Linked DNA regions of Sus scrofa. The protein of the gene in region 4 interacts with the protein of the main gene of each other region in a pairwise test. Links are inferred from orthologs where the notes say so. Each region holds a gene or a part of one and is shown on either strand. Other genes may lie near its edges.

Region 1 (4,683 bases), on a different chromosome or scaffold from region 4:
AGGTGAAAAGGTTAGCACTTGACCCAGGAAGTATCTATGTTTGTTTCAAAAATAGATCTGCTTCATCTATTTCTTCACCATTCATTTTTTCCATGATGGACTCTGATGATCGTAAAGGAACTGCTGCTGTTTTTAAAGAGAATCAACCTATTGCATGCACATTGGTTAGGTGCAATTACACTCATTGGGGAAGCATCAGCTCCATATGAAAAGTATTTCCCTTTTTTTTTTTTTTCCAAGAAGAGGCCCATCTCTTTGAAAATACACAACACCCTTCTCCCCTTCCCCACAGGAAAGGAGCCAACTTTGTAGGGACCAACAAATTGTAGCCAAGCCAGACACAGAGATGCTTAAGCATATCTGAAACTTGAATATATTTATTACAGACATCTTAAGACCCGTAAACTCTGCTCTGGATCACATCCTTCTGGGATCTCGGAGCTGTTCATGATTGTACAGGAAATGGGAACTATCACAAAGGATAACTGATAAAACTCAGTGTGGTACTTCGGGAACATCAAGACATTGTGCGACATGCAAAAGACTATTCACGAATCACACAAAATATACATTCATTGTGCCATCCATCACATTAACAACTGAGCTAAAAATACATCATATCCAGCTACAATAACTGTGGAGGGAAGAAGCTGGTGTGAAATAATACGTTTGGGTCCTGAATACTCCAGCGCAAATTTGAAAGAGTGTGGCCAGAGAAAGGAGAAAGGCGTGGGGATGGGGAGAGACTCAGCCCAGGGAGCCAGGTTTCTGACCCTTTATGCTGCAGGCTTTCTTAACTTGCTGAAAGAACAAACGGAGGCGACCCTCTGAGGCCTCTGATTGATTTTACTGGGAGCTTTTAGTCTTTAACCTATAATCACATACAAAGTTGTACCAGCTTAGAGAGTTTGCCCACCCTATTTTCATCCCTTAATCTAAACATTTCTAGAAAATCTGTATAAAGATAAATCTTTCAGGACAAAGTATTTACAACCAGCAGACTCACACACATGAAACTGAGTTAAATTAAGGGGTGAATTAATTGTGTAAACACGCTCATAGTGCATCTCTTCCTCATGAGCTCCTGGACTCTCTTCTCTCTCTATCCTACTTTAAGGGCAGAGTAGGGGAGAACTGTAAATACACGGTTAGATATAAGATGAGAGGCCTCCCTCTGACATGTTTCTGCTGGCAAAGGAGACTATTTTCCAAAGGGCATCTGAAAGGAACTGTAGGGTCTGTCAAAGAAATCTCCTAAAACTAGGGGCGTTAGGGGCCTTGAGAAAATTGATGTTGGCACTCAATTTGCATTGCGGAGCTAGCACTCCCCTGCCCCCACACCAGTCTCTAATCCAGAATTCACTGGAAACACAGTATCCTGGCCAGGAGTTCCCCAGATAGGATCAGAGAGGAAGAGAGAGATTGTAAATGGACAGGAAGATAAGCTAAGAATGTGCTTTGGGAAAGAAGTCCCAGCCGGAAGAGTCGAGTCTGGGGCTGGGGCGGCCTCAGTGGGAGGTAGGTAGAGTGTCTGAGGTAGCAGACCCCGGGGAAGGAACGCAGGGCGAGGAGCTGGACTTCTCGGAGGATTCCTCGGCCTTCTCCTCACTGCCCGGTGGGGTGGCTGGAGAGATGGGCAAGAGGCCCTCCTTCTCTCGTTTCTTCTGCTTCATTCGGCGGTTCTGGAACCAGATCTTCACCTGGGTCTCATTGAGCTGCAAGGACGCGGCGATCTCCACCCTGCGGGCCCGCGTCAGGTACTTATTGAAGTGAAACTCCTTCTCCAGCTCCGTGAGCTGCTTGGTGGTGAAGTTGGTCCGCACCGCGTTGGGCTGACCCACGTAGCCGTACTCGCCAACTTTCCCTGAGGGCAAGGGGAAGCGATGGGGAAAAAAGGGGAAAAAATTTATATTCGATATGAGAGTCCCTGTAGGCTTCAGAGCAAGATTCAGGCAAAGGGGGAATCAAGAATTTCTCAACACAAGCCGGGCTTGGGAGGGTGAGTGATGAGGTGTAAAGCGTTCATCTGAAGTCACCCATTAGCATGGTCAGACCAGTGATTAATGGAGCCTGGAGATATTAACACACACATACACACCTACCCACTTTCCCACGTCCTACTTCCAAAACCTCTAAAACTCAGCCCCCTTGGAAACACAACAATCCCAGATGTTCCTTTGTGCCAACCACACCTGGGCAGCCTCCCAACACCCTACAACACCGGTGGGAAGCAAGAATTTTAAAGAAAAAAACAAAACAAAACCTTGATTAATTTTCCTTGGAAACTAAGCATACCGGCTCCTTCCTGAATAATCAAGGATCATTCATGGAAGGGCAAGACTGACCTGTTTTGGGAGGGTTCCTTTTGACTTTCATCCAGTCAAATGTCTGCGCTGGAGAAGACGTCTCTGATGCAGGGGAGCGGCAGGCTTCTTGGTGGCTGGCGTGGAGAGGGGACAAGGAGTTATTATACGTGGCCAGGGCCAGGCTCTGATGCTCTTGTCCATATGAGTGGTGAATATATTGAGGCGAGCCCACCGCGCCCCCGGCATAACCCTGGTGGTGGTGGTGATGCTGGACCATGGGAGATGAGAGATTTCCAGAGTAAACAGCGGGAGCGCACGTGGGGTACCCACCACTTACTTCTGCTTCCTGATTTAACGCGTAGGAGCTGTAAGGCGCGCCAAAGTTCTGCGCGCCGTAGCTTGGACCACAACTCGAGTGGGAGTAGGACACCCCCAGGTTCCCAGGAGTCTGGTAGGTGGCCGGCTGGGGGTGGTGATGGTGGTGGTGGTGGTGGTGGTGGTGGGGCGGGCTGATCTGCACCCCCCTGCCCACTAGGAAGCGGTCGTCGCCGCCACAGCTATTGGCACTGACCGCGCACGACTGGAAAGTTGTAATTCCATGGTCGGAGGGGTAGGCTCGCGCTGAGCAGGTCCCCGAGTCGCCACCGCTGAGGATGGGGTATTCCAGGAAGGAGCTCATTCTTGCATTGTCCATCTGTCACTGAGTGACCGGGTCCTGCGAAGCCCTGAGTGACCGTGCCAACTTTCTCACTTCCTCCATGGGGCCGGAGAAGAAAAATGATATGAATGTACAGTGCGCAAGAGGGGGGGCGGGAGGGCGGAGGGCGCTAGGGGAGGGGCACGTGACTCTCTCAGCCAATGGCGGAGCCTCCTGCGAAAGTTTGCTGGCTCCTGCGGTGATGGATCACCCTTTCAGTGGCATTTAAATCCCCGGCGCTCCTCAGTCTAGGTGACGCGCAGTCGCCCCCCCAGGCAGCCCGGGCGGCAGCAGCAGCTGCGGCGGCTGCAGGGGCAGATTCCCAGCGTTGGGGCGAAGGGGAGCAGGGGCTGCCTTCTGCGAGTGGCCGACTCCGATCGCCCCCCTCCGGGAGGTGGGGGCTGAGAGCCATCCTCGGTCACCGCCCCCCTCCCCACCGTGCACAGAAAGAGGAACTGGCAAGAGGTGAGACGCCAAGAGGGCTCCGCGCTCTCTTGGGTCGGGAGTCAGTGGGAGGGAGCTCGCTGGGCCGCCACTTGCACACTGGCTGAGCCCGGAACGCGAGGAACTGGAAGGGTCGCTCCCCGGGCGCTTTCACTGCCGTCCCTTCTGTGATGCCTTGGGGGCAGTGAGGAGAGCCGAGAACGGTGGCGGGGGACGAGGCTGGGCCACCACCAGGTCTCCGGAAGGAGAGGGAAGTGCGCAGAGGGCTGGCTGGGGGAACCCGAGTGGGCGTGGAGGGGACAAGCGCAAGAAAGGAAACTTCCCTCTCCCTGTAGGGTCTTGAAGCCCCCGTTCCTCCCCCACCCCCACGAGCTGTTAGCGTGGCAACGGGGAGCTGCTGTAATTCGATGCTCGGGAACGGGTGAACCTTGGGAGCTAAGCTTGCCGGAAAAGGCCGGGGGTGGCCCGGCTCTTCGCCCTCCCTCTCTCCTCGCTCTCCGCCCCTTTCTCCTCCCCACTCAGCTCTGTTCTGGGAGCCCTGCGGGATCCGGAGCAACTCTGCTGCCGGATTTTGAGGGGTAGGAGGCGGGGGAGAGAGATGACGCTAGCCGACGTGGCCAGCGTGGGGGCCGGGCCGTGCGCTGCAGGCCATCTGCCGGCTCCCTAGGACCCAGGAGCCTGTGTACACCGACCTGGGCCTCAAAGGGCGAGACCACAGTGAAGTACGATGAACTCCCCCTCCACCTCCCCTCCCACCCCGCCACCCCCAGAAACGTTTCTCGTTTCCTGGAGGCGAATGTTAGGCGTGCTAGAGCTTCCTTCATCCACCCCCCCCCCATTCTACTGCACAGCTGAAGTGGGGGTGGGGGCTGGCAGGTGGGAGGGGCAGTGGACAGATGGCTGATGGTGGACAGGACATTTTCTTCTTCCCCAACAACACCTCCTCCCTTTTGTAAACTGGCTGTGTGGTTCCCTGTGTGAACCTTCAAGTCCTTCCCTAGAGAGACACGTGCAAATCTGAGCGTCATCCCAGGACAGGAGTCCTGTTCTCCATCACCCTCAGCCTACCCGGATGCTGACGGGGTCGTTAATTGCTGTTTACTATTAAGTTTCATGTCGACCCTGGGCTTGTAAAGAGAAAAGGCCAAACAGAGGCCAAGAATTGATGCATTCCTAGATAAAAGAAATCCAGACATCATCCAAGAAGCTTTGCAGCAAATACCCTATAGATTTTAC
Region 2 (4,179 bases), on a different chromosome or scaffold from region 4:
CCGGATCCAGCCCTTAAGTAGGCGCTGTTCCCGGACGCAAGGAGGCCCAGCCAGCCTGGGATGGCACACAGCCGGCTTATGTGCGGAGAGCCTCAGGCCCAAGTGCCTTCTGCCACCTGCCCGGGCAATGACCGCAGACACCCTGCTTCCTAGCAGACCTGCCGGCCGCCAAGGCCCACAGTGGAGGGGACAGCACTCATGGCCACTGAGACGCCTGGCAGGAAGTCCCCCCCAGATGCCTGGATGGGAAGGGCTTATCAGGCATGGCTGTCTCCCGCAGGGGCAGGGCCTGCACTCAGCCCCCGCCAGCCCCAGACGGCCACTTATGTCTGAGCTACGGGTGGCCTCTCAGCAGTGCGCACGGGCTGGTCGCCATTTCTCCCGGGCTCCTGCCCAAAGGGCTGTGTCCACAGCATCTGGTCTGGCTCCCAGCAGAGCCTTCGTCACGTCCACCCAGGCCTGAGCAAGGAGTCCCGGGAACCAGGAGGGGGAGGCAGGAGCTCCAGGCTGGGCCATGTCCCTGGTGGAGCAGGACCCATGCCCCAGGACACGTGCCCAGGGCAGGCTCCGCCAGCTGGGACCTGAGGCCCTGGCCCATTCGCCTCAGCATCCTGGGGTTGGTTACGAAGAACCAAATAAAGTTATCATTCAACCCAACTTTTAAAACAAGTCTGTTTATTGAAAGGATCCGAAAATAGTAATAAGGCTTTCAACATTTAACAAATTTCCCAGTTATTAACAATATGAAACATTAAGAATTTACTTCAAAAAACCCAAAGTTCCGCAGGTCACTGTGCGTCATGCTTTAGGACTTGGTCAACACGGGCTGTCTGAATGAGTGACCTGAGTGCCGAGCCTAACGCTGCCAGTGGGGCTCCCTCAGGCCACTGGCTGTGCCGGGGGCTTGCAGGCAGGTGGCGCGAAGCGATCCCCTCCCAGCGTGGCCGGGCGCCCAGGCAGGTGCAATGGAGGCAGACAGCGGCCACGGCGCCCAGGCTGCAGAGCCAGCTCCGGAGACCTCCGGCCACAGTGGCCACACGTGTGCCCCAGGTGCCTTTTTCTCAGCCTGCGAACCCCCAGGTGGGCAAAGCACAGCCCCCCGGCCCGTCATTCCAGAAGCAGGTCCAAGAAAGGACAGGCACCCGTCCGTTCTGCTTCCGCAAGAAACGCGATTGAGAGAAAGCAGTTCTCAGACACAGACGCCACGTTCAAGATGCCCAGCGGATCGGGGCCAGGCTCCCACCAGGTGCCACACAGCTCTGGCATCCGGCAGCTGGTGATGGCGCACGAGGGCTGAATGTGAGGGTCCCTCCCGAGCCCACAGGGAGCAGAGCCGTGTTGACATGCGACACCCCCACCCCGTCACAACCGTGGGGCCCCCCGGTGCACGGGTCCGTCAGCCGCGGGGGCTGCAGAGTGGTCCCGGAGCACAGGACATGGGGCGAACACTGGAATGAGGCTCTGAGTGGGACGCGACCCGGCCCCGCCCCGAAAGCTCACAGTGTGCGCCGCGGTCTGCAGGCAGCACTTTGAGGAAGTGCGACAATCTCTACAAAGGAGACTCGGGATTGAAACACCTGCTCCACGAGGAATGTGTAGAATCGACCCCCCGACCCCGCCGTGGCCGGGCTGGTGCTCCGACGGCAGGGGGCGGGGGGTGAGGGGACCAGGGCTTTGGAACCAAGGCAGGAGCAACCAGGCAACTCAGGCCGACCCTGAGCCGGAGCGGGAGGGGACCCGTCTGCCTGCCAACCAAATGCCGCCTGCTCTTGGCAGAAGTGTCCCAAGTGGCATCAGGGGAAGGTGGTGGTGGCTGAAGGAAGATTTTTGCGGTGAGATGTTTATTTTTCAATAGCAAAGGATAGCTCTGTCCACGCTGCTCCCCCCTCCCAGCGTCAATCAACTGATTCACGGAGGTTTCCAGATGGGGAATTAAAGAGCTCATTAAGCTGGGGACCCTGCCGGGCCTGGGCTCCGGAGATGCTGGGTGGCTGTGCCCGAGTTGGCCTCCAAGCTCCCAGCCATCACGCTCGCTTGTTTAGAAATGCAGAAAAAACTCAGATTTGAAACGTTAAAAAGAGCTGATCTGGTCGACAAAAAAGCCAATTTCAGGCCCTCCCTCTGGCCACAGACTGACGCGGCGCCTGCCACCTGCGCTGGGCCTGTGAGACTCACAGTGTGCGTTTGGGCCAACAGGCCTAGCTCCCCGAGCCGCCCTCCTCGTCCCCGTCCCCCGCCTCGTCGCCCCCCTCGTCCTCCGGGAAGTGGGCCTGCCTCTTCCGCAGGTTCCAGTGCAGACACTGTGCCAGGCTCTCAAACCAGTCGCTCACGGGGTCTCGGACGCAGACGGAGGGGAGCGGGTAGCAGGAGGTGGTGATGCTGATGCTGCAGCGGGAGAGAGGCAGCGTCACCCTCCCGTGAGACCTTCCCGGGGAGACGCCACCCTCCCCACGGGCTGGGCCGGCTCAGCTCTGCCCACGCCCCCTGCCTGAGGCCTGGCCCCAGGGCCTCTGGTGCCCTGGAGGCAGAGGGGTGCTCCTGGACCCCCAGGGGCAGGTGCAGCTGGCAGGGCGCTGTCACCCAGGCACAGGTCTGCGACGTGATCATGTCAGAACCGGGGACAGGCCCGCAGGGCTCTCAGCCCACCAGCTCCACCTGTCCTGTTCCGGCCCGCGGCCACACACCTGTCTCCGTGGCGGATCTCCTGTCTCTTTCGTCCATCGAAGGACACCCACGCGGTATTCCTTGCTTCTGGTGACAGCATGATCTAAAGAATCAAAAGCAGGACAGGGGTACCCTATGAGAGTGAGGCCAGGAGCGTGAACCCCGCCGGGGGTGGCACCGCCCAGGGGATTCACAGGCACCCACACAGTGCCCACTACGTGCCCGGGTGAGGTAACTTGTGTCCTGTGGACACGACCCCGGGAACGGAAGGCAGGTGTCCATCAGGGCCAGGTGCCTGGCTCCGGCCCCTCCTCTCTGCCCTGCAGACCCAGCCCGCATGTCAGGGCCCAGACCAGGACAGGCTGGTCCGGGGTGGCCTGCAGTGGGGAGCAGAGCACAGAGAAGGGGTGGACATGGAAGGACAGAGGCCCTGGGGGACAAGAGGGCAGGGTCCTTCCTCACCTGCCGCCCTCACTCCACCCCCACCACTCAGGCGGAGATCCTGCCTGTGGGGCTGGCCCAGCTCTCGGCGCTGCCCCCGCCAACCAGACCCCAGGGACCAGGCCCTACCAGGGCCCCAACCAAAGAGGGTGGGAGGCTCTGACCTTCAGCTCGACCCCTGCAGGGACCACAATAGGCCGGAAGGACAGCGAGTGGGGGCAGATGGGTGTGACCATGATGGCTGGCACGTTGGGGTGAATCATGGAGGCCCCGGCGGCGGCCGCATACGCCGTGCTGCCCGTCGGGGTGGAGACGATGACGCCTGGAGAAGAGGCGCAGGGTGGCACTGGTGCGCACGGCCCCCGCCCGCGTGGAGCCCCAGGCAGGCCGGGCGCCCACCTACCATCGCCCTGCACCGTGGTGATGAGGTGCCCGTCCAGGTAGACATCCACGTTGGACAGGTACGAGGAGGGGCCTCTGTCGATCACCACCTCGTTCAGCACCTGGGGGCGAGGCCGGTGCACTCAGGGGCTGCAGTGCCGGGCGGCCCTGGGCGCTGGCAAGGTCCCGAGGGCGGGGGGGGGCACAGCCCGGGGGGCGGGGGGGGAGGGACCCGGACAGACCTGGTACTGCATGACCTGCTTCCCGAGCTCCGCGTCCAGGGCTGTGGCCAGCATTCCGTGCTCGCTGACCCCGTTGGGGACGGCCAGCTTCTTCCCGCAGAGTTCCTTCACGACCCTGACCTTCAGGCGGCTCCGCAGAACAATAGCCGCGTTGCCTGGGGGCCAGCAGGGGTCACGCCCAGGCCGGTCAGCAGGGAAGGGGGCTGTGGCGCCCACAGGAAGAGAGCCCCCCTAGCCAGAGACCGCCCCCCTGCCCTTTCTGCTCCCAAACGAGCACCGCCCTGCCTCCTGTGGAGCTCAGCTCACTGCCCCCGGGCACGTACAGAGGCCTGATCCTGTGAGAGCTCCAACGTCTCACGTCAGGGAAAAACGCTTGAACCACCCCAAACTCAGAAGTCTCTGAGTCCTGAAACACTCAAATGTGGTCCTACGCATCATTAGAAAAAACCCA
Region 3 (4,772 bases), on a different chromosome or scaffold from region 4:
TCCAAACCCCGCCTCAGTGGGCTCACAGCGCCCCAAATTCATCACAGCGGACCCTGTGATCTTCCTAACCCTCTTCTCCCCCGTCTCCTGGGTAGAGGAGAACCCCCACCCCCACCCCCACCCCCACCCCCACGCGAAGACACCCGAGTCCTTGAGGAGCCCCTTCCATCAGCACTCACGTCTGTGGGCAACCCGGACCTCTAGGCTGCCCATCGCTGCCCTGGCCTCTCCAGGCCGCTGCTCCCTGAACACAACACATCCGCCTCATCGGCCTCGTATGCATAGCTCCAGGGTCTGCTCAGGGCCCCTGGGGGCTCACAAGCCGGCCTTCCAGGTCCCCCATGACCTCACCTACCTCTGCTCCCGCTGCCCTTCCCACATGCCCTTCAAGGGCACTGGCTCCAGCTCTAGTTTTCAAGAGCTGTCTCTGTCACCTGTCCCATCTGTCTCTCTGCAGCAGCCCAGAGGGGGCAGAATGGTCTCCCTCAGAGAGACAAGAACAGGCTACTCAGAGTAGGAACCCGCCCAGGGTCACAGGGCACAACAAGACAGGCTGTCTCCCGGCATGACTGGCACCTGCCGGCTCAGGCCCTCCAGCACTCTGCCCACCTTCCCGCCATCAGCACCCCGGGCCCGGCCCCCTTCAGTCAGCTGCTGCCCAGCCGCCCTGGCCCTGGCTCAGTGTGGGGAAGGAGGCCATTAGGCCCTGGACAAGAGCTGGGACGGATACTGGAATTCCCTTTTATTTTTTTTTTTAATAAATTTAAGAACAGCTCTACCCTCTTCCCCCCAGAGCAGCTAAAAGGGGGTGTGGCCTGGGGGGCAGAGGGCGCTAGGAGTCATAATCTTCTTCGTCCTCTGCGTCAGGTGCTGCGGGGACCTGGGGCGCTGGGGGCAGAGGCAGAGTCGAGGTGAAGGGCGTGAAGGGTGTCGGGGGGCTGCAGGGCAGAAAGTGGGAAAGGAAGATCAGGCCACTCACCTGTGCCCAGTCCTGCCCGCTGAGCCCCACCCGGTCCTCCAGCCAGGCAGGCCTGGAGCCCACTGCCCTCTACCAGCAGGGAGCCGAGCCCAGAGAAGGGAAGGACCCAGGGCACACAGCCCTGCCCGGGGGAGGGGACTTTCTGAGAGCACAGAACCCAGCCGTTAAGTCCTCTTCAGTTCCTCCCGTCCCGTCTCCCAAATCTGCCACAACCAACAGAACCAAGGCGCCTGAGCGGTCAGAAAGGACAAGGCAGCTGGGGACCAGCTGGCCCCCTCTGGGTGCCACCGACCTGCTTACCTCTGAAAGTGGGCAGGGGGCTGGCTGGCCTGGGATGGGGCCTGTGATGTCTCCTCTTCCCCATCAGTATCTGTATCCTCAGACTCATCCTGGGAACAAGACAGGAATCAGAGGCGACAAGAAAGGCGTGGGCCCATTACTGGAAAGCCGGACCTCTGCAGCCGCCATGTGCAAGGCAACCAACACAAAGAGGTCACAGGTGAGGATGGGACCAGGCCTCCAGCCAGCTGGGCCTGGCCTGATGCAAGGCTGCCCTCTCCACCCTGCAAGGCAGGACAGAGGGCTGGGGCCTCAGCTCACCTCCTGCTCCGAGTCTGTCCCCGACAGCTTCTTGTCCTTGCCTTTGCTTCCCATGCCACCGTTCTTCCGGCTGCCGCCGCCTGGCTTCCGGCCCCTTCGGGAAGGTGGAGTCCATCTGCCCAGAGGTCTCCCCACTCCTCTGCCATCCCCCAAGACACCTCCAACCCCGGGGGCCTTGGCCTTCCCCACATGGACACTGACTCCCCACCTGCGAGGACCCTTGTCCCCGTCCATGTGGTTGTCTTCCCCATCTCCCTGCATGTCAGGCACAGAGGCCACCAGATCCTTTAAGAAGTCAAACTGCTGCTCCAGCTCAATGCACTGCTTCCTGGAAGAGGTGGGGAGGGAATGGCACTCAGGTGAGGCACAGATGTCTGTACTCTCAGCAAAGTGCTCTCTGGATGTCAGGGGAACAGAGCCTGGATCGTTTCAATCCCAGCCATGCCCCCTTTCTTAGAATACCCAGTCCCTGCCAACTCAAACCTACCAGCCTTTGAGTCCTCGCCCAGCCGCCTCCCACCTCCCTCCCTATCAGGGCACAGCCTCCCCTAAGCGTGTGGACTCCGGGCGGAGGCCCCACACGAGCCCTCCCAGATCGGAGCCACTCACAGGTGGGATGTGGTCATGGTCTTGGCATTTCTAGACTGGGTCACTTGGCAGGCCTTCTTCAGCAGTGACTCCAGGAAAAGCTCGAGCGCCCGAGCTGAGGGTCGTCAAGGCGAACGCGGGTTCTAACAATGTCCTGGCCCCCAAAAAGCGACCCGGGGCTGCCGGCCTCCCCCGCCTCCCTCAACCCAGCCAGCCCTCGACAGGATACAGATGATGACAGGCACAGCTGCCGCCACCTTCCCAATCTCTTCATCCGTCTGCATTATCTTCTTGATGCGTGCCTGAGGAAGGGGCAGAGAGCTCGGACCCCGTCGCCGCGGCCCCCGAAAGGGTGCGCGGGGCGGGGGGCAGAGAGAGGGAGCATCCCGGGAGGAAGGGGGCGGGGGGCACCGACGCGGAGAGGGCACGGAAGGGGGCGGGGCGTCCGGGCCCCCGAACGGCGCGATGCGCCCGCCTCCCTGGCCGGGCCTGGGCCGGAGCCTCCCGAGAGCCCGGCTCGTTCCTCCCGAGGCCGGCCACGTGCTCACCGGCGGGAACCGCGCGTTGTACTTCTTCTTCTTGCTCGGCATCTCGGGGCCTCTCTCGCCGCGCCGGGCCCAGCGCCGCCGCCCGCAGCCTCCCGGCCCCCGGGCCTGCTCGTCGCCCGCCCGCCGCGGTTCCCCCGGGTCCTGGTGCCGCCTCCTCCGCCCCCGCCACTCCCCCCACAGGGTCCTAGCGCCGCCGGTCAGCACTCGGCCGGCGGGGCCCGAGCGCCCTCCCCTCACAGCCTCCCGCCCGGTGCGCGTCTGTCCGGGACTGGACGGCCGCGACCGCCCGCCCCCAAGACCTGAAGAGCGAACGTTAGCTCCGCCCCCCGCAGGCCCGCCCCGCCTCGCGTTCCCAATGGCCCCGCCCCCGGGGTCAGCACCGCCCCGACGGCCCTGCCCCTTCCCCCCGGTCCCGCCCTATGCTGCGCTTGTCTATAAAGTTGTTGTTGAGGCGGCGGGGCAATAAGATGGCGGCGGCGGCTGCAGCCGTGGCGGGGGCGGGGCGCGGCGGCGGCGGCGCGGAGCCCCGGCAGGAGCGGAGCCGGGCCCGGGGCTGGGCCGGCGCCGAGCGCAGCGAAGGCCGGAGGTGACGCCCGGGCGGCGGGAGGGGGCAGGGCGGGGCGGGGCAGGGGCGCTGCTCGGGCCGTGAGCACTAATGGCGGCGGGCGCGGCGGGCGCGGCGGGGCGGGAGGCTGGCCCTCCCGCAGGCTCTAACAAGCCTGGGTTCGAGTCCGGGCTCGGCCCGTTGGCCTCGGATTGGTCACTGCCCTCTCTGGCCTGCATGTCTTCGTCTTTAAGTAGGCGGGATAACGCCCGCCTGGAGGCCTGGCCCTGTGGGGCCTGTCGGGGTGCCTCGTTCCATTACATCCCAGCGCCCGGGAGACCCGCCTGCCTTGGCAGCGTCGGGAGCCGCAGCTGGGCCGGCGGCCCCCACACCCGAGTTCACTTTTCGGCCCTTTCACGCACTGCAGGTGTGACCTTGGGTAAGCCCCCTCCTCTGTGAGCTTCAGTTTCCTACTCTGTAGGTCAAGGATAGTAGTGATAATAGTAACAGCATTTATATAGTTCTTGTTCCACCTCCTAGTATTTAATTCTCTACAGCTGTTTGAGACGGGAGCAGCTATTTTTCATTGTACAGATGAGGCAACTGAGGCACAGAGACATTAAGTTTTGCCCAAGGCCGCAGGGATTAGTTCAGTGCCTGGCACCTACGTGCTCAGGCCCAGGAAGCTGGATCTGTCCTGGACCTGCCCTAACTTGGTTCCCACCCGGCAGGATGGAACCAGGCGAGGAGCTGGAGGATGAAGATTCTCCAGGTGGTCGTGAAGATGGCTTCACTGCTGAGCACCTGGCCGCAGAGGCCATGGCAGCTGACATGGACCCCTGGCTGGTGTTTGATGCCCGAACCACACCTGCCACGGAGCTGGATGCCTGGTTGGCCAAGTACCCACCATCCCAGGTTACCCGCTATGGGGACCCTGGCTCTCCCAACTCTGAGCCCGTGGGCTGGATTGCAGCATATGGGCAGGGCTATGTCCCCAACTCAGGCGACGTGCAGGGCCTGCAGGCAGCCTGGGAGGCTCTGCAGACCAGCGGGCGCCCCGTCACACCAGGTACCCTGCGCCAGCTGGCCATCACCCACCACGTGCTCTCGGGCAAATGGCTGATACACCTGGCACCTGGCTTCAAGCTGGATCACGCCTGGGCTGGCATTGCTCGAGCCGTGGTCGAGGGCCGGCTTCAGGTAGCCAAGGTGAGCCCACGGGCCAAGGAGGGTGGGCGGCAGGTCATCTGTGTTTATACGGACGACTTCACGGACCGCTTGGGTGTACTGGAGGCAGATGCCGCCATCCGCGCGGCAGGCATTAAGTGTCTGCTCACCTACAAGCCTGACGTCTACACCTACCTGGGTATCTACCGGGCCAACCGCTGGCACCTCTGCCCCACTCTCTATGAGAGCCGTTTCCAGCTGGGAGGCAGCGCCCGTGGCTCCCGGGTGCTGGACCGCGCCAACAACGTGGAGCTGACCTAGTGGGACCAAATGGAAGAGACCACCC
Region 4 (4,209 bases):
GGCAGCAGTGGATTCCATTCTCCAGACTTTACCACACCCCCAAATCAGACCTCCAAACCCCTCCGAGGTGACAGTACCCACAGCAGTGTCCCCTCCTCTGAGGCCCGGCTCACACCCTGAAACTCTAACCTCTGACCTGTCGTCAGAGAAACAGCTACTTTCTGCAGAGACATCTGTGTTCCATTTTTGTTTTAAATATTTACTATGATTTCTATTGTCCCAACTGGGCCCTGACTGATGTAAGCAAGTCTTCCATAAATTATTTGGTGAATAAATAAAGGCAGGTACTGTATCCAGCACTAGGATCATGGTGCATAGGCGTGGACCCTGTTGTCAGGAAGTTAAGTATTTCACTACAAGTGCTGTGGCCTTACAGCAATAATCTGAACAAAAGACAGACATTATATTTAAGCCAAGAATTTGGAGTCTAATTTCATGAAGCTTTAGACTTCAGAATGCTGAATCTAGGAGCAACTCAGTACTGCTGGAAAAGAGAAGTTACTAAAGGAAAAGTAAGAGTCTATTGTAATACTCTGGGTTAGAAGTACAGAAACCCTGAATAGGCGTATATATAGCAGGACTAGAATGGGAAACATGATAGAAACAGAATCACTAGGTCTCCGTAACTGGAGAATGGACTGGTCAAGGCATCTGAATCTTTAACTCCTAATAACTTAGAAAAGTAACAGCACAAAAGGAAGTAGACTATGTGAGAAGTGACATCCTGAGAAGAGGCCAACGCTAACATTATAAATCTTGGGGTTTGGCACAATGAGGAATTAGCTTCTATCTATGTGTAAAGTATGATTTTATGTAATTCAAAATTCATACATACCCCCTGAACTGGTGCTCCAGGGACCACGGCCATATTTGTACGAATTTCTTCTTCATTTAAACTCAGGCCCATGTACTGAGAGAGCTCCGGATATAGTTTAGGATAGAGATCTAATAAAAATGAATGAACAGAGAAAGGGAAAAAAAAACACTGGTTGAAAATTCAAAAACTGTTGTTATGGACTTCTACTTGTACTAAAAAATTACATTTAATTTATAAAATCTAGAATAAATTTAAATTAGCTACTTGGAAAATTCCACTCTATCTCTGTAATGACAATTAGAAATGGATAAAACAGAAAAAGTTACAGGTGAAAGTAAAATATGAAGACATTTGAACTGAAACCTCAGATTTCTAAGTACTCAAGAGTAAAAATAATTTTTCTAATTATCTTCCCTCTCCTTTTTTTTAAGCCTAGTTGATTAGGAATTTTGTAAAGATACCACTGATTCTCCAATTAAGAAGAAGTGACCAGGAGTTCCCATCCTGGCACAGCGGAAAGTAATGAGGAACCATGAGGTCGCGGGTTCAATCCCTGGCCTCTCTCAGTGGGTTAAGGATCCAGTGTTGCTGTGAGCTGTGGTGTAGGTCACAGACATGGCTCGGATATGGCATTGCTGTGGTGTAGGCCGGAAGCTACAACTCCAATTAGACCCCTAGCCTGAGAACCTCCATATGCTGCGGGTGTGGCCCTAAAAAGACAAAAAAAAAAAAAAAAAAAAAAAAAAAAGAACTGACCAAAATGTATACTGTCAAGTCAGCTGCTTTATAACTAAACAGCTATAAAATTATTCTTCTGAACCCCACCAAAAAAAAATCAAAGCTTGTAAATTTATTTAGTGTCATATCATTTTAATTGTTAACTAATGATGGAGTTCCAGTTGTGGCTCGGTGGTTAACAAACCCGACTAATATCCATGAGGACTTGGGTTCGATCCCTGGCCTTGCTCTGTGGGTTAAGGATCTGGCATTGCAGTGAGCTGTGGTGTAGCTAAGAGTCATGGCCTGGATCTGGTGTTGCTCTGGCTATGGTGTACGCCAGCAGCTGCAGCTCAAATTTGGGAACTTCCATATGCCAAGACTGCTGCCCTAAAAAGATGACAAAAAAAAAAAAAAGTTAACCAATGAAATCTTGGGAAACAGGACATTTAAATACTGAAGTACTGAACTGAGTGGTACAGTTAAGTACAAATATTTCCAAAAGCTCTTTTTCACATGTTTTATTTGTGACTTAAAATGGGTCTTCTATATTTTGGTTTGTGTTTTTTTGTGCCTATGGCATGCAGAAATTCAGACCACACCATGGCACCGACAATGCTTAATGGCTAGGCGACCAGGGAACTCCCCAAAATGGATTTTCTAAAAGGAACAATGTTATAACAGGTCACAAAAACCTATTTAACACTCCTTTTGTATCTTTAGGTCATGTTATTTAAGGGTTCTGTCCTGAATCCCTATGAGCGCAGAAGGAAAAGGGATCAAAGAGAAGGATATGGAGCCTGAGTAGATCCCAGGATTCAGGAAGTGCCCTCAAAAGGAGGCGGCTGGAATTTTCAACCCTGCCCCCACCCTCCACAAGTCCTGAAGAGACAGAGGACAGTTAGGAAAGTTCAGTTTTTTCACAAATGAATCACTCCTAGGTTAAGGACTTATGTATGAGCACTGAGACTTAAGTAACTTAATTTTGATTAAGCCCTAAAACACACCTTCATACTCAATTTTTTTTTTTTTTTTTGGTCTTTTTGCCATTTCTTGGGCCACTCCCAGGGCATATGGAGGTTCCCAGGCTAGGGATCAAATCGGAGCTGTAGCCACCAGCCTATGCCAGAGCCACAGCAACTCGGGATCCGAGCCGCGTCTGTGACCCACACCACAGCTCACGGCAACGCCAGATCCTTAACCCACTGAGCAAGGTCAGGGATCAAACCCACAACCTCATGGTTCCCAGTTGGATTCGTTAACCACTGCGCCACAACGGGAACTCCCATACTCATCACTTCTTGATTAAAGAATTATTTTTTGGAAGAAAAATTTCCTACTACTAGAGGAAATTATTTTTTTGGCTTTTTAAGGCGACACCCACAGCACATGGAGGTTCCCAGGGTAGGGGTCCAATCAGAGCTACAGCTGCCGGCCTACACGACAGCCACAGCAACACAGGATCCAAGCCATGGTGGCAACCTACACCACAGCTCACAGCAATGTCAGATCCTTAACCCACTGAGCAAGGCCAGGGATTGAACTTGCAGCTTCATGGTTCCTAGTCGGATTGTTTCTGCTGCACCATGACAGGAACTCCCCTATTACCAGGTTTTAACCACCAATTTCATGAGGCATGTTAAAAAAAAAAAAAAAATCTTGCAATCCCTCTTTCAGCAAAAGAAGGCTTAGTTAACAAGTTATCTCTGTTTAAGGAGAATGAACCAAAGTGTAAACCTACTTCCATCTTGAGAGACAGGAACAGAAGCTTCAGACAAAATTGCTGGGTTGGCAGGGTTTGCAGAAAAAGCAGTTTGAGCCTGAAAAAGAAGACAATTCTAACAATTCTATAAACATACTTAAACTTCTTATATAAATTCTTATGTAATTTATAAGTTAAATCCAGTAAATCCAAAAAGAAACTAAAACACTATTTTTAATCAAGTCTTTTTTTTTTTTTTTTTTTTTGCTTTTTTAGGGCCATACCCACAGCATATGGAAGTTCCCAAATTGGAATCGCAGCTGCCAGCCTTCGCCACAGCCATAGTAACGCAGGATCCAAACTGCATTTGAGATCTACACCACAGTTCATAGCAATGCTGGATCCTTAACCCACTGAGCAAGGCAAGGGATCAAACCCACATCCTCATGGATACTAGTCAGATTCGTTACGAATGAGCCACAATGGGAACTCCCAAGAAATTTTAACTTCAAATTTCCAGCAATATATTTTCAAAGAAAATCACAAATCAAAAATATATTTCATATTATAAATATTAAATGCTATCCTAGTTCCCATTGTGGGGCAGTGGAAACGAATCGATCCCTGGCCATGCTCAGTGGGTTAAGGATCCGGCATTGCCAAGAGCTGTGGTGTAGGTCTCAGACAAGGCTCGCATCTGGCGTTGCTATGGCTGTGGCATAGGCTGTGGCATAGGTTCCCCTAGCCTGGGAACCTCCACATGTGGCAGGTGCGGCCCTAAAAAGCCAAAAACAAAACAAAACAAAACAAAAAATGCTATGCTATAAAACTTGACTAACCACATTTTTTATAATCAATATTTCATAGTGCTACTGCAAATTAATATTTTCAAAATGCATTATAGAATGGTTACACATTTTACATTTTTATTATTCTTTTGCTAATAAGTCTAGGTAAAAATATCTTATTTACG
Region 5 (4,209 bases), on a different chromosome or scaffold from region 4:
TAAGCAACGAGGTCCTACTTTATAGCACAGGGCACTATATCAAGTTTCTTGGGATAGACCATGATAGACGATAATATAAGGAAGGGAATGTATATATACAAATGACTGGGTCACTTTGCTGTACAGCAGAAATTGGCACAATGTTGTACATCAACTATACTTTAATAAAAACAAAAACTCTATTCATACCATTAATAAGGCATTTATTTTGCTTTGAGTCAAAAAAAACCAAAACTACAGTTTAATTACCATAGACCTAATGATAAAAACCTAAAACTAAAAACTACTAAAAGAAAACAAGAAAATATTTTTGACATCTATAAAACAAAAAGTTTGTAAATTTGACACCAAAAGTACAATCTAAAGGGAAAAAAAGCAATGAATTGGGAATAATCAAAGAATTTTTGCTCTTTAAAAGACACCATTAAGAGAATGAAAAGTCACAAAATGGAAGAAAATATTTGCAAATAATTTTATTATTTGCATAATCAATTAAAGACTAATTCAGAATGTGAAAGAATTCAATAAGAAAACAAACAACCCTATTCAAAAGGTATGTGGGGGGAAGCAAAAACATTTAACAGACGTTTCATCAAATATAAACAGATGGCAAATAAACACATGAAAAGATGTTCTACATCATTATTCATTGGGGAAATGTCCACAAAACCACAAGGAACTATTATACACCAATTAGAATGTCTAAATTAAAAATATGTGTGTAAAGAATAACAATACCACATGCTAACAAGTGTGCAGAATAAGTGGAAGTCACACACTGCTGATAAGTGTGCAAAACTGTACAACAACTTTGGAAAACGATTTGTCAATTTCTTATAAAGTTAAGCATTCACTTCCCATATTATCCAGCAATCCTACTTCCTAGGTATTTACCCAAACAAAATGAAAACCTATGTACACATACAAGTCTATGTATGAATATATTTGGCACTTTTATTCATAATCACTCACAACTGAAAATAACACAAATTTCCCTCAATTGGGTAAAGTATTAATAAAAAAACTGTGGTAAACCCATTCAATAGAACACTATTCAGTAATAAAAAGGAACAAACATGTAACAATGGATAGATCTCAAATGCACTGTGCTAAAAAGACAGACCCAAAGGCTTTATCACACATGCTTCGATTTATGATATTTCTACAAAGGCAGAAACTTTAGAAACAAAGATCAAGAGGTTGCCAGGGCCTAAGAGGAAAACAGAAGGACTGATTACAAAGGGGCATGTTGGAAATCTGAGGATGATAGGACTGTTCTATGTCTGGACTGTGGTTGAGGTAGTATCATTGCATACATTTGTCAAAACTCACAGAAGCTGCACACTAGAAAGGGTGAATTTTAATCTACAGAAATTATACTTTAATAAAAAAAAGGAAAAAAGTACTTGGTGATTCGAAGACATGACATAAAAGGGACTGATATAAATTTTTAATAAGGCATTTACCTTGCTTTTTGTTAAAAAAAACTATAATTCTTCACTCATACAATAAATTTTTTGAGTGCAGATGAGAAACCAGCAACTGCTATTAAGTTGTAATTTAATTACTAAAATGTAGATGCTAGATAAGAGTGATTTGTCCTTTTTGGGCCTACAACTGATTTAAGATGAATTCCTTATTCTACTGATGCAGGAGCATAACATGATTCTATAGTTAACTAGCTGGAGTGACCTAACAGAGTTGTATATATATCAAAGGACAGCTCATGTTTACATTTACCCCTGAAAAAAGCTTTTCTTAAAAAATGCTATTACAGAAGCTATGCCATTAAACACCATCCAAAATGGATGGATTAAAACGGACTTTTAAAATGTCTTTTAAAACATCTAAGCATCTTGGAGTTCCCGTTGTGGTGCAGTGGTTAACAAATCAGACTAGGACCCATGAGGTTGTGGGTTCGGTCCCTGGCCTTGCTCAGTGGGTTAAGGATCTGGTGTTGCCGTGAGCTGTGGAGTAGGTCGCAGACGCGGCTCAGATCCCACTTTGCTGTGGCTCTGGCGTAGGCCGGTGGCTATGGCTCTGATTTGACCCCTAGCCTGGGAACCTCCATATGCCACGGGAGCAGCCCTAGAAAAGGCAAAAAGACAAAAAAAAAAAAAAAAAAAAAAATCTAAGCATCTTGGCATAACAGTAGGGCTGAATACACATATATTATGAAGTACTTTATTAACCAGCTAAGGTGATGTGTGTCCAAGCACATACATTTTTACAGCAGATCAGAAACTGTTTACAAACCAGCATCATTATTAACTTTGCAAATAAACTGTAGCAATTGCACCTTTTTCTCCTTCCCCATCAAAACAGTCTTTAGGTTGCAATGTTAAAACACCAAAACACCAGTCGACCTTAAGGTACAAGTAAACTTGAAATTCTTAAAAAGACCGCTGTCTATTTGTTTACTAGGCTGCTACAATACGCAATGAATTCTGTTAAAATAGACTTATACTTTAAACTGTTATATCAAATATTTCCTATAAAACATACCTTAAAATTGTCACAGACTTTTCTTTTTGTTGATGACTTAACTGTAACAAAGAATACTTCTAACGACAACTTCTCAAAACTGTACAGAAGACAGCGCCATACTAAATTCATGAATCTCTAGTAAATGAAATTTGAGTAATAAAAACTGTGTATTTGTGCTACTCTATCAGAAAAATAAGAACCTTTACGCAGATTTCCTCAGGAAATTCTATTCTTCAGTCACATGCCATTTTCTAATTACTACCTTAGTCTCAATTTAAAAAAAAATACAAACCACAACAAAAAAATCATAAAATCAAGTTCCAAGTAAGAGAAGAGCCAGAGGACTGGACTGCCTGCCAAGGAATAAGCCCATACTCACCTGTAGGGGGAGTGGAAGAAACAACAGGGGGAGTTGGAGAAGTGAAGCCATCAGCAAGGGTCTGGGCACCCCCAGCAGCAGCGTCTGGGGCAATGGAGGAAGGGACAGTTGCAGGAACAAGAGGGGCAGGGGCAGATGCAGAAGTAGCAGGAAGGGGAGGAGTACCAGCAGAGCCAGCAGGGGCTGGGGGAAAAGAGGAGTAAGAGGCAGCATTAATGAGGCACTTCCATTAGGCAGGATTAGAAATGGTATTAGAGAACTTAATGTTAGATACTAAGTGTTTATCAATAACCAAAGAATAGAAGAGAGTGTTAAAAAAAAAAAAAAGAATGAAGTTTATGTTAAGGATTATTAGGTTTGCAGCAAATAATTCAAGATGCTAAGGGTAATGTACAGATTGTAAAATTCATTAAAAGCATTCCTTTTGGAGTTCCTGCTGTGGCTCAGCAGTAATGAACTCAACTAGTACCCATGAGGCAGGTTTGATCCCTGGCCTTGTTCAGTGGGTTAAGGACCTGGCATTGCCATGAGCTGTGGTGTAGGTCACAGATGTAGCTTGGATACCATGTAGCTATGGCTGCGGTGTAGGCCAGTAGCTACAGCTCTGATTCAACCCCTAGTCTGGGAACTTCATATGCCACAGGCACAGCACTAAAAAGCAAAAAAAAAAAAGCATCATTCCTTTTCACTCGACAGCCACTATTCTGGAAGAAAGGTGCTCCTTTTATATTGTTATTTTTACCATAACATTCTGTAATAGTATACAAAATTAAACATAACACCAGAAAACAACAGTATGGAGTTCTCGTCATGGCTCAGTGGTTAACGAATCCGACTAGGAACCATGAGGTCACGGGTTCGATCCCTGGCCTTGCTCAGTGGGTTAAGGATCCAGTGTTGCCGTGAGCTGTGGTGTAGGTTGCAGACGCAGCTCAGATCTCGAGTTGCTGTGGCTCTGGTGTAGGCCGGCAGCTGCAGCTCCGATTCGACCCCTAGCCTGGGAATCTCCATGTGCCACAGCAGCGGCCCAAGAAATGGCAAAAAGACAAAAAAAAAAAAAAAAAAACCATATTCCATTTTGATTTACACGAATCAGAAACTAAACATGTATCCAGACATAAACATCTTATTGGTAAAAAAGAATTTAGAAAAATACAAATCTCCTTTTCATGACTTTTAAAAAGATATTATCTATTTGTTATTAAAGCAAATTAAATATGTAATATCCTATCCTTAATGTCTTTTGGGTCATGTTTTAAAAACTAAATTTTAACTGTGAGTCCTCAAATTAAACAAGTACATTTCTCTGTTTCAGATAAGATCGGGTGCATTCAGGGTGGTAT
Region 6 (3,470 bases), on a different chromosome or scaffold from region 4:
ATGATGGGAACTCCCATGGCACACAACCTTTTACCTCTTGTTCACACCCATCCATCCTCTGTTTACCATTGTATGGTCCAAACTGTATCTATGCCAGAACATTTCTCTGAAGCCCTGGAGAAGCTTTCTGCTCTTTAGAGTTTCTTATCTTCTGGCTTGTTGGCCTTTATACAAAGTCCTTCACACATTGGTATTATTGCCTTTGACTCACAACAGCTCCATGACAGGACCCACTTTATACCAAGGCTCAAAAGAATTAATTGGCGAAGGCCACACATTGCGTAGGTGGGTGAAATGGGACTTGTTTTTCCCTAGCAAACCTAGGGAGTCTTAAGCCGTAGGTGCTCTCTGGGAACCTCATGACCCTTGTTGGCCCATTTCCCAGACTTGAGGATGTAGACTGAGGCAGGAGGTAGGAAGTCTAGGGAGTGGGGAATGGATGGGCAGAAAATCTGGGAGGAGGCTTGGCTGAGGTCTCATGTGGCTTCTGGCCGGCCCTCTCCCAGCCAAGTTTCTGTCACTGGGCTCTTTCTAGAGCCTGGGGAAGGGGAAAGACGGGCTTGGCGGGGTGAATGACAAGTCCAGGGGCACCCAGGTAGATGTTCTCTGTGAGCTCGAAGCGGAGACAGTTGAGCAGCTGCAAGGAAAAGATGCTGCCAGCTGCTAAGGGTGTCCCAGGGGTGTCACCACATGCACGTGGGAGCTTTGGGTGGCCTGGCCTAGCTCTGCTCCCAGCTCAGCCTTCTGCCCTATGCCCTGGCCCCCCATACCAAGTACCTGGAGGATCAGCTTGAGAGAGATGCCCCTACCCTGCCAGCAGGCCCTGACCAGCCCCAGCTAGGGACTGAAGGTCTGGAGCCTGCCGAGGCAGGAAGGCCCTGGTCCCACTGCCCTCCCTCTCCCCTGGGCCTCGGGCCCTAGGCCAGGGCTCAACAGACACAGGCAGCAGGATGGGGTCGCCCTTCTATTGGTCCAAGTCCTGAGCAAGGCCTGGGTGAGACATGGAGGTGAGGAGGCCCACGAGGCTCAGCAGCGTGGAGAACAGCAGCAGGAAGGAGGCCATGAAGAGCAGGGCGGGGAGGGCACTGAGCGCCAGCAGCAGGACAGCCGGCAGCAGATGGCGCCACGCTGCAGCCACCACGGGCCACAGGGAGCTCAGTAGGTGGGAGCCGGTGGTGAAGAGTGCATGGCAGAGCATCAGCGCCAGCAGCAGGTAGAGGATCCCTTCCAGACCCCACAGCACACGCTGCAGCGGCTGCCGCCAGCCCGATGTGATCCACCACTGGGCCCAGCTCGGGGGCATGTGGCACATGCACCAGCGCACCCAGCTGTCCCGTGTGAGCCAGGCCGTCCAGGGCACAGCACGCTGTGGCCCCTCACCGGCTCCGGTGGCATCTGTCTCCACTCGCAGCTGCTGCATCACGGCTGGTGCACCTGGGGAGAGGGCCAGGCCAGCTGCAGGAGCAGCCCTGGAGATGCCTGGGACCTCAGGATGGGTGGGTGGGGGTGGTAGCAGGGGTCAGGAGGGTACCAGCATGGGTGGGGTGGGGCTTGGAGCTGGGGCCTGGGTCTTACCTCCTGGCAGAGCCACCTAAGTCATGTTGCTTCTTGCAGCGCCCAGGACGGCCTGGCAGCCAGAGTTGAGCTCCCACTCTCACTCCCCTCACCCTCCCCAGAGGAGCCCCATTGTGACCCGGGCTGGGGTGGGGTCCAGCCAAGAGAGGGTGTGAGCATGAGCCTTACCTGAGCCTCTCTCATGGACTCTCTGGACTGGCAGGGGAGTTTCTCATGCTTCCTTGTGGGAAGCCCTCTCCGGATCCCCTCATCCCTTCCCTGCTGGCTGATATCCAGTCCCACTCTGCTCTCTTGCAAGTCTTTCTCTCTGGACCCTCATTCTCTAGAACCACCCAGGAGGCCAGACTAGCCACCCCAACCTACGGGCTCTGAGATGGCTACCACATCCTCCTCTGGGCTCCTTGTCCTTTATCTCGGTTTTGGCCGATGTCCTCGGACTCAGACCTAGGTATCCACTGTCCCTATTGTGGGAGCAGAGGTTCCCCTGGGGTTCAGGCTGGAGGAGAAAGAGTATCCTTCCATCTGCCCAGCCCAGGGTGGAGGAAAGAAGGCCTGAGGAAATAGCATGGCCAGTGTATTTCTGGAGGACACTCAAGCCCAAGGATGGAGACAGAAAGCCAGGGCTAGCAGGGTCAAGGGCATGCCACGGGCTCCCAGGAGGAGCCCCAGGCCCAAGAGCAGCATCAGCAGAGCCTCCTGGAGGGCGAGTTGTCCTGTGCCCACCGTGGGCAGGAGTAGAGCCTCCACTTGTCCCGGACCCTCGCCGGCGCCCTGACTCTGGCCCCCTGTGAGACGTGGATGTGTGTGCTGTGGCCAGGTGGGACCTGCAGGCCTGTGGCGAGAAAGGGTGGCAGCTGGGCTTTGGGAGGTTGACCACTTGTGCACCTGCCCGCCTGCTAAGCTGCTGTGCACTTACCGGTGGAGCAGATCGAAGGCCAGGAAGCTGACGAGTAGCAGCAGCAGCAGCAGTGAGGCTGGGCCAGTTGTGGAAAAGACGGCCCAAATTGTCAGCCCCAGTGCCCCCAGCCCTAGGACACTGTCCAGGAGCTGGGCTGGGCTAGGGCCCCCAGGAGACACACATGGACCCACTGGGCTACCCGATCCTTCCCCAGCACCCAGGCCCCTGGGAAGGCCTGGGATAGAATAAGCAGGGCCCTTGGGCCTGGATGAGCAGAGCTGGGTCATGGAGGGAGCTGGCAGTTACAGCAAGGAATGGGGAAGGGTAGGAATCTGGGGGATGAGACCATGGGGGAGGGCGATGGGGGGCCCTGGCGGACACTCAAGGGTGAGCTCAAGCAGTGGAGAGCTGGGCTTCTCGGGAATCTCCTCCTCCCCACACACCCACCCACCAAACCCTCCTCATCTCCTCCCACTTGGGTCAGCCATTCTGGGGGGCTGGGTAGCCGGAGCATTGTGACTTATTGCCTGGGGGGCCCTGGGGTAGGGAGGGGGCTGCTGCTGGCTCTGGCCTCCTAAGTAGCTGCTGTGGCTTGATAGGAGGAAGCCTGACTTTGGAGAACTAAAGACTCATCCTCTTGCCTTTGCTAATCGTCCACTCTAGGGCCCTCCCGTGGGGATCTGTGTTGCTGGGAAGACATTCTAACCCCATCACTGTATGGGCAGCTCTCCAAGGGAGGAAGGGCTGCTTTCTTTGCCTTATGAGCTTCCTGGGCTGTGTGTCCAGGGGCAAGTGACTCAATCAGTCTGTCCCCAGCTCTCTCCCCAGAGAGTAGGATGATGCCAGTGGGCTCTTGTGGGGGATTTTTCAGAACTGCAGTCCTGGAATGCAGAGATAGACTCTGCCAGGAAGCAACCTGAGGCTTTCTGGGGCAGGGTTCCCATATGACCTGGTAAATGGGCCAGAGGGGGTGGGGTGGGGTTGACAGGAGGGGCCT
Region 7 (4,013 bases), on a different chromosome or scaffold from region 4:
CACCCCGGCCGGGAGAGGGGCTCCCCTTGTCCCCAGAGGTGGCATAGTGGGGGCTGTGGCGGAGGCAGGGCTCTGGAACTGTGTGCCCAGGGGCTGGGGCTCTGGCAGTTTCCCTGAGGGGACAGGAGCCTGGGGTAGGCAGAGCTCAGAGGGCCTTGGCTTCTGCTTGGACTGGAAGGGTCCCTGCGCCACAGGCAGACCACTCCCCTGGGGCGGGGCCAGCAGGGAAATCGATGGGTTTAGAGAGGTGGCGGATGGAACTGCCCCCAGGGAGCAGGATGGCCGCCCTGGGGAGCCAGGCCACCCCGGTGCAGCAGCCAATGCAGGGCTTTTCCTCCTGGAGAGACACATCTGGGAGACGCCCCGGCCAGGCCTGGGCTGGAGGAAGGCACTTTCCTGGGAGCGGCGGGCCCAGCTTTCTCCAGACTCGGTCAACAACACGTGCTTCCCAACCTCCAACCTCCACCCCACCCCCAAAGGGACAGACAGGTGAAGAGAGAGGGACCCGGAGGGGACTCGGGATGAGAGCTGGGCCCCAGGCAGTGTGACCAGGGAGGGTGGGGCAGTCAGCAGTCAGAGCTGGGCTGCATCCCTGGCCGGGGGACCCGGCCCCAGGAAGAGTGTCTCCCTGCACCAGGCCGAGACCACGGCCCACGGCCAGAGTGCCTTCCCTGAAGCTGGGCTGGGTGCTGGGCTTGGGGAAGGGGTCAGCAGTTCTGAGGGGGAAGGTGGGCGACAAGCGTCTCGGGACATGCTTAGCGGCACCCCTAGCGGTCCCCAAGGCCAGCAAGGCCAGTCACAGGGAAAGTCATGCCAGGCCCTCTCCTCGCCCGCTCACAGAGGAGCCCCACTACAGCTGAGCAGGGGTTTGTGTTCCGGCTTAGGGTGGCCAGCAGCCCCACCCAGGACACAGGCGGCAGGGTGGCGTGTATCTTAACAAAGACAACCTTTATTGACGTTACGGCCCCAGGGTCAGCTCTGAGGTGAAGGAGGGCCCTGGCCCCTTCCCACTTGCCTGGGCACCTGCTGGCCAAGTGATAAGGTGAGGGTGACATGATGCCGAGACTAGAAGCGGGGTCTTCCCTGCAGCCCAGGGGTGTGGGGGGGCCCTCAGAGGCCGAGCAGAACTGACCGACCCAGAACCTGTGTGAGCACAGGGCCAGGACACCCAGCTGGTGGGCTGCAGCGAGGCCTTCCTTGTCACCCAGAGCCAGTGGTGGCTGGCAGCTGCCTCTCGGCACCCAGAACAAGGAGAGAAAGCAGCCGCTGCCGTGAAGAACAAAGAGGCCGTGAAGACTTGCTGGAGGCGAAGCCCTAGGTGGGCGCGGTGGAGGCGGGCCCCTCTGCCGGCGGCCTTGTCAGCTATCCTTGCCTCCACTGCTCTTCTGTTCTGAAGCTGTGGCCTTGGTCAGGTTCCCTGCTTCCCTCTTCAGAACGCTAAGCAGAGTCTGCGAGCTCTCCAGGATCTGGGAGCAGAAACGCCAGTGGTTACACCATCCCCCCTCTGGGAAGCTCCCACAGCCCTTCCCTGCCAGGGCCCTTTTCCTCCTGAGTCTACCCTACGCTCCCTGCAGAGTCGCTCTGGCTCCTGCTGGTCTTAGGGAGTTACGCAGGAAGAAGTACCGTCCAAGCCACGCTAGCAGCTGCTCTGTCACTCCACAGTGGGCCCTCGGCCTGCCTGTCGGTGGGCCCTTCTGGGACTTGTCCCAACATGCAGGCCCCAAGTCCCACCTTGAGGTAGGCGGCCTCTGTCTCCGCGATGGTCCGATCAAACTCGTTACGAGAGGCGATCTTTCGGGCCAGATTCTCGTTGACTCGGGCCAGCTTCTCGGTCAGCTGCCTCACTTCATTCTGCAGCCGCTGCTTCTCATCCTCCTCCTGCTGGATCTGTCGACACAACTCTTCCCGCTTCTGACACAGCTCCTCGATGCCTGGGGTGGGCCGAGAGGGGCAGGGGCTGTGGGCCCAGGGCAGGCAAGAAGGCACCGCCCCCCACCCCCCAACTCTGAAGCCCGCTGCTCGGTAGGAGAGAGAAAGGCAGCGGAGGACCGGCTGCCGGCTGGACCACCTTCCGCCCGAGCCAGGCCAGTGTCTTACGTCCCGGGGGACTCAGGGTTAAAGTAGGCACCGCACCAGAACCCTCGGCGCGGGGCTGGGAGGCCGTGCGTGCTCAAGCCGCTTGTCCTTCGCTCGCTCCACAGATACCAAGCGCCCGGGGCGGGCCCCACACCGGGGCTGTGCGTCGGGCAGGTCCGACGGCGCTGGCGCCGCCCGGACAGGAACAGCCGCTTACGGACTGTACAACACACTCGGCCGCGCGCTGCGAGCCGACCACCGCCCGGGCCCTGCGGGCCGGCGACGCCACGCCCTCCCCGCCAGCCCAGGGAGCCCCGCCGCGCGGCCGCGCACATTTGACCAGCTCGTTGTTGTAGTTCTGCAGCGCCGCGCCCTGCTGGGTCATGGTGGCCGTCCGGGGTCCCGGCCGCTCCAACCGCCGCTACCGCATCCCTGCCGGCGGGCCCGGATTACGTCACCGCCGCGCGCGCGCGCGCCCAGCCCTGCGTCATCTCCCCGCGCCACACGGGGCGGCTCTGGGAGCTGGTGGGCGCAGATGGCGGCGGCGGAGCAGCAGAACGACCCCGGGCCTGCCCAGGAGCTGCTGGTAGCGTGGAATACCGTGAGCACCGGGCTGGTGCCGCCGGCCGCACTGGGACTGGTGAGGCCCGAGAAGAGGGCGGCGGGCCCGCGTGGGGTGCCCAGGACCCTGCGCGGCCTCTCCTCGGGTTTCTACGGGTCCCTGTGCCGCTTTTCTCCAGACTCCCTCCTGGTTCGACAGCCCTTTCCGAGAGTCGGCCGTGCATCCCTGCGACGAAGCGCAGCGGCGTTTCCGTGGGCTCCCCTCCTCTCTGCCTTTCCCGCCTTTGCCTGCCAGTAACCGTCTTCTCCATCTCTGCGTGGTGTTTCCTTCCACTCACAGTTTTCTGTAATCCAGGCATCCTCCCGGACCAGCGGCGCGGTCCCTCCAAAGGAGGAGGAGCTCCGGGCGGCGGTGGAGGTTCTCAGGAGCCACGGACTGCACTCGGTCCTGGAGGAATGGTTCGTAGAGGTGCTCCAGAATGACCTGCAGGCCAGCATCGCCCTCGAGTTCTGGAATACCATCTCCCAGCGCGAGAACTGCGCGGACGAGCCCCAGTGCCTTCTGCTGCTCCTCGATGCTTTCGGTCTGCTGGAGAGCCGCCTGGATCCCTACCTGCGGAGTCTAGAGCTCCTGGAGAAGTGGACTCGCCTGGGCTTGCTCATGGGCACTGGTGCCCAGGGCCTTCGCGAAAAGGTCCACACCACCGTGCGGGGCGTCCTGTTCTTTTCCACCCCCAGACCTTTCCAGGAGATGATCCAGCGTCTCTATGGGCGCTTTTTGAGGGTATACATGCAGAGTAAGAGAAAAGGGGAAGGGGGCACAGATCCTGAACTGGAGGGGGAGTTGGACAGCAGGTACGCCCGTCGCCGGTACTACCGCCTTCTGCAGAGCCCGCTGTGCGCCGGGTGTGGCAGTGACAAGCAACAGTGCTGGTGCCGCCAGGCGCTGGAGCAGTTCCACCACCTCAGCCAAGTCCTGTGAGTACTTGCACCTGCGTTGCCTGTTCCTCCTGGCTCCTGCTTGCTCCTCTGGAGAGAGCTGGCGAGCCGGCTGGGGGCGGTCTCTGTCACCTGTCCTGGAAGTCAGGGACATGGCCACAGGAGGGGCTCCGGGAACATTGTGCTGGGAGTTTATGCCTTTCCACCTGGTCACAGGCGTGTTTGTCACTCACACTAGCTCAGGGTTTCACACGTTGCTTCCGTTAAGACCGACAGGATCCCAAATTTTCTGGGCCCTACAGCGCTCTGCTGTGCCTTCTGTAGCCTGTCGGGGTGGCGGTGGGGGAATGACGTTTATCCTGCCTGTACTCGCGAAAGATGGGCTTGCTGTTCTTCTGTCTTTAAGACAAGTTAGGAGATGAGCCCGACAGGCTGGG

What was found.
Region 1: the proteins of SDCBP (region 4) and HOXA1 interact in binary tests that used the Homo sapiens proteins (3 or more experiments, as listed by UniProt). The two-hybrid records come from large-scale screens. The link is inferred for Sus scrofa from reciprocal best matches to the Homo sapiens genes SDCBP and HOXA1.
Region 2: the proteins of SDCBP (region 4) and NADK interact in binary tests that used the Homo sapiens proteins (3 or more experiments, as listed by UniProt). The two-hybrid records come from large-scale screens. The link is inferred for Sus scrofa from reciprocal best matches to the Homo sapiens genes SDCBP and NADK.
Region 3: the proteins of SDCBP (region 4) and DRAP1 interact in binary tests that used the Homo sapiens proteins (3 or more experiments, as listed by UniProt). The two-hybrid records come from large-scale screens. The link is inferred for Sus scrofa from reciprocal best matches to the Homo sapiens genes SDCBP and DRAP1.
Region 5: the proteins of SDCBP (region 4) and ABI2 interact in binary tests that used the Homo sapiens proteins (3 or more experiments, as listed by UniProt). The link is inferred for Sus scrofa from reciprocal best matches to the Homo sapiens genes SDCBP and ABI2.
Region 6: the proteins of SDCBP (region 4) and TMEM239 interact in binary tests that used the Homo sapiens proteins (3 or more experiments, as listed by UniProt). The two-hybrid records come from large-scale screens. The link is inferred for Sus scrofa from reciprocal best matches to the Homo sapiens genes SDCBP and TMEM239.
Region 7: the proteins of SDCBP (region 4) and SSNA1 interact in binary tests that used the Homo sapiens proteins (3 or more experiments, as listed by UniProt). The two-hybrid records come from large-scale screens. The link is inferred for Sus scrofa from reciprocal best matches to the Homo sapiens genes SDCBP and SSNA1.

Annotation. Positions count from the first base shown.
Region 1 is NC_010460.4:45,475,977-45,480,659, reverse strand, and holds HOXA1 (homeobox protein Hox-A1), read right to left. Parts: upstream 3,100-4,683; 5' UTR 3,001-3,099; coding exon 2,346-3,000; intron 1,865-2,345; coding exon 1,509-1,864; 3' UTR 354-1,508; downstream 1-353. UniProt on the Homo sapiens protein: Sequence-specific transcription factor. Regulates multiple developmental processes including brainstem, inner and outer ear, abducens nerve and cardiovascular development and morphogenesis as well as cognition and behavior.
Region 2 is NC_010448.4:63,845,992-63,850,170, forward strand, and holds the end of NADK (NAD kinase), read right to left. Parts: intron 3,884-4,179; coding exon 3,729-3,883; intron 3,609-3,728; coding exon 3,270-3,608; intron 2,768-3,269; coding exon 2,685-2,767; intron 2,386-2,684; coding exon 2,199-2,385; 3' UTR 659-2,198; downstream 1-658.
Region 3 is NC_010444.4:6,408,898-6,413,669, forward strand, and holds DRAP1 (dr1-associated corepressor), read right to left. Parts: upstream 3,039-4,772; 5' UTR 2,758-3,038; coding exon 2,716-2,757; intron 2,470-2,715; coding exon 2,397-2,469; intron 2,283-2,396; coding exon 2,189-2,282; intron 1,908-2,188; coding exon 1,580-1,907; intron 1,369-1,579; coding exon 1,280-1,368; intron 939-1,279; coding exon 833-938; 3' UTR 726-832; downstream 1-725. Other genes in the region: C2H11orf68 (UPF0696 protein C11orf68 homolog), read left to right, coding at 3,135-3,301, 3,991-4,747. UniProt on the Homo sapiens protein: The association of the DR1/DRAP1 heterodimer with TBP results in a functional repression of both activated and basal transcription of class II genes.
Region 4 is NC_010446.5:74,304,375-74,308,583, forward strand, and holds part of SDCBP (syntenin-1 CG9291-PB), read right to left. Parts: intron 3,355-4,209; coding exon 3,276-3,354; intron 946-3,275; coding exon 836-945; intron 1-835. UniProt on the Homo sapiens protein: Multifunctional adapter protein involved in diverse array of functions including trafficking of transmembrane proteins, neuro and immunomodulation, exosome biogenesis, and tumorigenesis.
Region 5 is NC_010457.5:106,859,706-106,863,914, reverse strand, and holds part of ABI2 (abl interactor 2), read right to left. Parts: intron 3,050-4,209; coding exon 2,867-3,049; intron 1-2,866. UniProt on the Homo sapiens protein: Regulator of actin cytoskeleton dynamics underlying cell motility and adhesion. Functions as a component of the WAVE complex, which activates actin nucleating machinery Arp2/3 to drive lamellipodia formation.
Region 6 is NC_010459.5:32,837,196-32,840,665, forward strand, and holds TMEM239 (transmembrane protein 239), read right to left. Parts: upstream 1,895-3,470; coding exon 1,858-1,894; intron 1,739-1,857; coding exon 1,585-1,738; intron 1,494-1,584; coding exon 965-1,493; downstream 1-964. Other genes in the region: C17H20orf141 (uncharacterized protein C20orf141 homolog), read right to left, coding at 2,167-2,407, 2,492-2,760.
Region 7 is NW_018084833.1:709,956-713,968, forward strand, and holds SSNA1 (Sjoegren syndrome nuclear autoantigen 1), read right to left. Parts: upstream 2,548-4,013; 5' UTR 2,462-2,547; coding exon 2,410-2,461; intron 1,932-2,409; coding exon 1,732-1,931; intron 1,467-1,731; coding exon 1,359-1,466; 3' UTR 930-1,358; downstream 1-929. Other genes in the region: ANAPC2 (anaphase-promoting complex subunit 2), read left to right, coding at 2,612-2,716, 2,993-3,615. UniProt on the Homo sapiens protein: Microtubule-binding protein which stabilizes dynamic microtubules by slowing growth and shrinkage at both plus and minus ends and serves as a sensor of microtubule damage, protecting microtubules from the microtubule-severing enzyme SPAST.